2 linked regions of the Rattus norvegicus genome follow. The protein of the gene in region 2 purifies or fractionates together with the protein of the main gene of each other region. This does not show direct contact. Links are inferred from orthologs where the notes say so. Each region holds a gene or a part of one and is shown on either strand. Other genes may lie near its edges.

Region 1 (3,652 bases), on a different chromosome or scaffold from region 2:
GACGTTTTCTGGTCACTCTGAGCCAAGGGCAATGACTTCTGTCTCAGCAGGTAACACCATGTAAAGCTAGTTGCAGTCTTGAGGCTGGGGAAAGATGGCTGCTGAGTGTCTGAGCTGCTCAACACTGAGAGACCAGGGATTGGAGGCTGCCTTTGCCCTTGGATGACTTTGTTCTCTTCATTTTGAACCCCTGATGACCCCTTTTCCTGGTTGTCGTCTCTAGATTTCAAAGGCAAAACACAGGCACTTTCCAATGGGATGTGTGAACTTCCCACTGTAGGAGTCAGTGACGTGGACAACTTGGTATTTTTAAACTCCTGGAATTCACTGACATGGTCTGGGACTGCAAACATAGAGTGTCTGGATGACAGACTATCGGTTGATAAAACCTGAGTTGAGTCAGCATTCCTGCTGCTCTTTCCAGAGGCAGAACCAGGGTCCTGCTCTAGTGCCGTTCCTTCCAGGGGTTCCACAGTGCAGAGCTGCCGTACCAGCACTGGCTTCTTCTGCTTATGGCCCTCATTAGCTCTTGAGCTTGGCAGCTCCAATGGTCTAATGTTTGTGCTACAAACAGCTCCGTTCTCATCTTTAGCTCGTTTCTGATGCTTTTCCATGGCAATGTCTAAACTGTTTGCTGGGGAAAGCATCCTTTTACTCGAGGCTGAGGATTCTTGTTGTGGGGAGAGTCTACCAGCAGACACTTTCTGAACTGTCGCCGAGGATTCTGAAACTGGAGCGTTTTGGCCCATCTCTGAGAGAACAGTTTTGCACGCAAGATCCTTCTCCGGTGTTGGCAATGCATTCTGGAGATAGTTCTGTGATTTTGGCATGGGATTTTGTTCTTCACTGACTGGCACTATACTTTGATTAGTTTGGCAAATTGGCGTGTTGGACAGATCGTGGGTCACTAAGATCTGCGGCAGAGATGTGACAGTAGAGAGACAGTACACTGGGACATCCCTCGGCTGGAGCACAGGCAGCACAAAGGAAGGCAATCGCTTCTGCACCTGATCACTCGGTAGCCCAAGCTCCAGCGATGGCAGAGGGTAGGATTTAGACACAGGATCGACTGCTTTGGCTGACAGTGCTACTGAGGCTGTGCAGGGATCAGCTGCAGTTTGATCCGGAAGAACTGGATTAGGTAAAGAATGCAAAGGACTAGAAGAGCAACCCCGGCCTGACGTGAATGCTTGACACTGAAGCTGGTACTTGGGAGCAAAGCTACCGTCGCCTGTAGAAGACGTACCTGCAGGGGGAGGTGCACCTGGCTTGCCACCCTGCACAGACACTGGCAGAGGCAGTGGTGTGTTTTGGTGACTAAGGGGCATGTTGGTTTTATTTAATAAATGGGCACCAAAAAGTTGTTGAGGAGGAAAGGTGTCAGTAGAGCTACAACTTGACATTTCTGCCTGTAAATCCTTAGCCAGGGCCTGGGAGGGCACAGTGTGTGCAGGAAGGTCAGCAGAAGCCACATCAGGAGGCCTCAGGGCCTGCAGTGGGATTGCATTCACACCAGGGAGAACAATAGTCTGGAGAGCTGATACACTGCCAGGAGACAGGGGGCTATCCGAAGCTATGTTCAAAGATATCTGCCGGGTCAGGGGACCTCGCCTCCTTTCTAGAAGGGGCACATGCCCAGTGCCCCCAACACCAGATGGGGAGTTGGAGGGCTGAGGCTCAACAAGTGCTGGCACCACATGGGAAGGAGCAATGCTCCCGCAGTCGAATGACTTACTTCGGAAATCAGAGACCTCCATCAGTGTGGGCACGCAACTGATCTGCTCGGATGCCGCCCGCCTCATCTCCCTGTGACTCCCAGGGACACTCAGTGTGTTTGAACCCAGCGGAATAAAAAGAAACTCAGCTTTGCTTGGAAAGTCAGTTTTGGGGGACAGCTCTACTTTAGAAATGTCTTCTACATCTAGGGAGGCGGAGAAGCTGGATGCATGGGACAAGCTGCTTTCTCTGCTGAGACTCCGGGAGAGTGTGGACTCGAAGCTTGACTCGGTTGAGGAGTGCTCTATCTCAGCCAGCCGGAGCCTTTTCTTTTTGGGTGGCAGCTTCTCTGTCGGCAGCTTTGATAAGGTCTCACTGCGCTGAGGCCAAGTAAATTTCTCTGACTTTTCTTCGTCATGACTCTGGGCTTCTAGGTCCCGGTCTGGCTCTTCAGTGACCAGAATTTCTGGGACCTGGATGTTGTGCTGCCGGACAAGTCTCAAGGGCTGCCCTAACACAAAGCGCTCACTGGGAATCTTTCTAGCACTTTCCCGTGACAGTGCTATCTGATGTGTGGCATCCCGAGGTGGGTGACCTTCCTCTGGGGGCATCCCTATCACTTTCAGGGCCCCAGGCATCCCAGCTCTGCCTAATTCCTGTAAAGAGAAGGCGGTGCCTCCTTCCAAGGGCTCCAGCTTGTCGAATGAACTGGGCCTGCTCAGGGAGTTGGTGTGCTGGATGACTGAGATGCCACCCGCTTGTCTCTGCACCTCGATCCTGTCCTGAGTTGCGGAATTCAGCTGCTGTTCAACCACGGGGCATTGCTTCAGGGGCAAGGCCTGTTCAGGGACCCTGGCCACAAGCTGAACAGGCGAGCTCTGCAGCTGGACGCCCCTGTGTGCCTGGTCACCTGCTGTGGCAGGGGCTTGTTTGGACGGACTGGGAGCAGACCCTGGAACTGGCTGCAGCTGGAGGGCTTCTGCGCTTTCTGGGGACCGCCCGCTCTCCCGAGGCTGCAGGTCCTCATCATCGCCTACGCTTTTCATTTTCCTCCTCTTTCTTATCTGGGGTGTCTGCTCCCACACAGCCGTGGGAGCGGCAACTCTGTAGTGGAGAACCTGGGGTTGCACCCCACCAGGTGCCAGGCCGTGCTCAGGCTCTCTCGCAGCCACCTTCGTTTTGGGCCCATGTAACTCTGAACAGTAAAATTTCTTATGATTCTCGAAATTCTCCAGTTTCCGGTACCTGTTTCGACAGGTTTCACACTCAAACATGGTCCCTCGTCCTTGATGTGACTTCTTCTTCTCTAGGTGAGGGGTGTTCGCTGCTTTGCTCTGCACTGGCCCAGGCTCACTGGAGGCTGGGCACCCTTGACAGCTCTCATCCACAGACTGCCCAGAGCCCAGAACGTGATTCTCACTGGCCGTCGAGTCTTCCACTGCCGCCTGTCTGACCAGGGGACGGTGATGTCCACTTGGGGGCATGGATGGGTTGGGTCCCGACACAAAGACATCATCATAGAAGGTGCCAATTTTATCATCAAATGACTGGCTTCCTCTCAGAGGGGGAGGGGGAGGAATTATGTTTGCAGGGACTGCTGAATATCCCGTGGTTGGCATGGAGTTACTTCTCGTGATAGGCAGACAGTCCAGGGAAGGGACAGACAGGAGGAACACCTGCTTTGACTTCTCGGTCGGGGTGAATGGGGACTTTGGTATATCAGAGCTGGAACTTGTTCTCCGTCCCATTGGCTTCAGGTCGAACTGGAAAGAATCTTTGAATATGTATGACTTGGGGGAGTCGATGCTTCCCCGTCTAGAAAGCGAGGTTCTCCGGGGCTTCACGCTATCCAGTTGCTTATCATCAACCAAGGCTTCATTGTCTGAGATCAGCTTGGAAATCCTTTCCTCCAGAGTTTTGGTTGCCAAGGGTGGGC
Region 2 (3,652 bases):
ACTTCTAAGGCTCTGGTCCATGCTGACAGCCTCTCCTCCAGCACACTGCACTAGCAGGAGCTGCCTTAGAACTGTGTGGTGCTGCCTCTCTCATTCCTTGGCAGCAATTTCTTAAAGCTTTGTTTTTCTGAACCTAAAATAAATTACCTTTTAAAATTAAATGTTTATTTGTATATTATGAGTAACCACTTTAAAACTGAATTGTACCTATATTCTTTGCTTAAATAGAATAGATTTTGTCCTCTTGTAAAATACTGGATTTTTTGTAGCCATTGGCAAGCACTTTTCTTTGCACAATCTGAGTACACCTACTGCTATTCTCTTCCCAATCATTGAAACATGTTACTGTCTCAGGCTTAGACACTAAGAATTGAACCAGTGTTGATTGGACCAGTGTATTTTGCCTAATACTGGACTGATCCCTAGTGTGTATCAGCTGACTAGACTATGTGGTATTAAATCATGTCCAGTGCCTAACAGCCATTTAAGCTTCTCAACCTACACCATCTGGCTACATTTAGTAAACCAAACTACTCCAGAGATTGCCTATAGTCCATTATGTAACTGTTTTGTTTGGAGTGTTGGGTGAAATTACTCTTATTACTGGTACATTGTACACAATCAGGCTGCCATTGATGGCAGCCATTAAAAATGTAAGAATGCCTTTTCTGATATTGTAGAACATTTAAATATAAAAGATTTGGGAAATATGTCATCATCGTATCTTCGGTGAGGAACTTTATTATCTTTAATTGGCCTATAATCATATTCCTTTAATAAGAATTAGGTGGCGGATGCCTCCATCTGCTTATACTTAAATATGAACATGTGACGCCAGCCAACAAGATCCACTTAAAGCTTTCTTTCCCCAAGTCTGCTGGAGAATTTGACAGATAGCCATACAATTTTTATAATTAGAATAATGTTTAATAAGCATATTTGGATTGCTGCTAATGGCAGCCAAGTGTGTCTCCATATGATTCAGGGGAGACACGCAGAGTCAAAAACGCACGGCGTCAGTCCTTTCCCGTTCATGCCTGCAGATGACAGACTGAAGGAATCCATCCCAACTTGTGAGCCTTCAGAAGACCTCAGAGATTGTGAATGGTTTGTCTGACCTGAGAACTTGGAACAGCAATGCCAAAAATGTTGCTAGGGTGGCCATCCTATTTGATGGGCTCTTTCCCACCCAGGCCTTGATGTATATATGGGTGGTAAAGAGCTTTAATTGGGGAGTATGCTAGTTTCCACCGCCCAAGATCAGCCTGCCATATTTTCTTTTGAAATGCTACCCTCATGTTTACTGGTAAGATTCTTTTTTCCTTTTTAGGTCAAGTGCCGCTTAGGTTTTAGAGCAGTAGGCTTTGTTTTGTTTTTAACATGCAGTCAGACTCCTCTTTGAACCTTAATGTCCCTGTGTCTCCTCTCAGGGTCCCTGTGTCTCCTCTCAGGCTGCTCTTGGACAGTGTGCTCACTTTTCTCCTCTTGCCCACGTCCCATGTCCCAGAGCAGTCTGACTTGCTGCCTCTCTCTCCCCAGTACATTTAAAGGATATTTCTTTCACTGAATAGCTTTGGAACTGCAGCAGTAATAGGAGAGAATGAGAAATGGACCTAATATCAGGATTTCGGGGGGTCTGAATCACTGAGTTTGAGACGCCATCCGTAGAACATCCCCTAGTGTTGAAATCCATATAGATAGATGGGAACTGTTTTCTGGACTCCTTTTTATTTTTAATGTCTTGGGGGTTTGCTGGTTGTTAGCTTTAACTTCCTTATCTAACAGAAGATGGAAAATACTGTTCATTTCTGTAACCTTATGGAAAAATTATTGACACTCATTTTACCCAAGTCTCTGTTTGAGCAAAGCTGGACCACACTAGGGACAGTGGTGTGCCTTCATCTCACAGCGTGCACTGCTCTTTTAAAGGCTTTCTGTGAAAAATTGCTCAGCACCCGCTCTGTTCTTTTTGTGCTTCCTTCCCTCACTGAAGCACGGGGTCTGGACCATATTGCTGAGAACATTCTGTCATACTTGGACGCCAGATCACTGTGTGCTGCTGAGCTTGTGTGCAAGGAATGGTACCGCGTGACGTCGGACGGCATGCTGTGGAAGAAGCTCATCGAGAGGATGGTCAGGACAGACTCTCTGTGGCGAGGCCTGGCAGAGCGCAGAGGGTGGTGAGCCCTTCCCTTCCTCTTCCTGCCTCATTCCGGCATCCCCCCCCCCCCCCCCACCTGGCTGCTGAGCATGAGGGAATGTCGGGAGCCAGCAGGGACACTTCCCATCAGCCATAGTCCTTGTCCAATTTTTAGCTAAAAATACAAGCGAATTGCTGTCCATGTACGCAGTAGTTTTCTTCTGACCAGTCGATCATGAGATGACATTTTTCAAAAGAAAAAAGAAAACTGACTGCCCTCCCAGTTAAAACATTCTGCTCTCGGGGCTGGGGATTTAGCTCAGTGGTAGAGCGCTTGCCTAGGAAGCGCAAGGCCCTGGGTTCGGTCCCCAGCTCCGAAAAAAAAAAAGAACCAAAAAAAAACAAAAAAAAAACAAAACATTCTGCTCTCTGGACGAAGTTGGAATTTTGCAGAAAGGCTGAGAGAGAACTTTTAAGGAAGGAAAGAGAGCTTTGAATCAGGTAGAAAGAGCCCACTCCTACTTCCTCCTCTTCTGGGGAAGGTGGAATTGTTGTTCTTCCCAGACTGCAGTCTCCACCTCCATGTCTCACCACCTCTGTAATCAAAAATTAATTTTTATGCCCAAGTAGAAGTAAGCTATCAGAAAGAATGAAAAGTGGAATTTAGTATAAATCATTTGTTTCTTCCTAAAACTTGTATCTTTAGATTTGCTTGCTTGATTATGAATTTCCTAAGGCCTTGTGTAGTCAACGACCTGAAAGACTTCACCAGTAGTGTTCCCTGAGCGCAATGGCACTATTTCATTAAAACTTCTTGAAGATATTTTTCTTTTTAGAATTTTGCCTTAGAGTATATCTCTAGAATGTCACTATAAGAAAGTCAGGTATGAATAATTCATTAAATAAGTTATTAAGTATATTTGATAAAAAAATGACAATAGGCATGTGTGTGCCCAGTGACTGCCTTCAGAACTTATTTATTTATTTATTTATTTATTTATTTATTTATTTATTTTGGTTCCTTTTGGGTCTGGAGTCATACACAACCTCAAACAGTTAAGATTACTAAGGGGAAGCTCCGTTTGGGCCATACGGCCTGCTTTTCCAAGAAGAAGGAAGGCGGCTAGGACATATGTGGCCACCCTCACTCAGCCTGACCCTGTCTCAAAACAAGTGTAAAAACAGCTAAGGGCTACAGGTGCCCTCACTGTGTATAAAGGCTTTGGGTCCAGTCCTGTAAGCAAAAAAAAACAAAAAACAAAAACAAAAAACAAATCCTCACTTAGCTGGGTGGACATGGTAATCCCAGCAAGTAAGGAAACTGAAGCAGGAAATATATATATATATATTATATACACATACATACACATATACATGAGAGAGAGAGAGAGAGAGAGAGAGAGAGAGAGAAATAGATCACCCTTCCTTCAAATTGGCTTGGCTCTCATGCTTTTGTATCTTTGAAATTCATGGATTCATGAATGTGTTGACCTGAGTACCCTGGTAAGCACT

What was found.
Region 1: the proteins of Btrc (region 2) and Hivep1 purify together in Homo sapiens (affinity purification with mass spectrometry; 5 studies listed by BioGRID and IntAct, counting the BioPlex papers as one, with this or other methods). This does not show direct contact. The link is inferred for Rattus norvegicus from reciprocal best matches to the Homo sapiens genes BTRC and HIVEP1.

Annotation. Positions count from the first base shown.
Region 1 is NC_086035.1:22,819,651-22,823,302, forward strand, and holds part of Hivep1 (zinc finger protein 40), read right to left. Parts: coding exon 1-3,652.
Region 2 is NC_086019.1:254,298,801-254,302,452, forward strand, and holds part of Btrc (F-box/WD repeat-containing protein 1A), read left to right. Parts: intron 1-1,993; coding exon 1,994-2,180; intron 2,181-3,652. UniProt on the Homo sapiens protein: Substrate recognition component of a SCF (SKP1-CUL1-F-box protein) E3 ubiquitin-protein ligase complex which mediates the ubiquitination and subsequent proteasomal degradation of target proteins. Recognizes and binds to phosphorylated target proteins.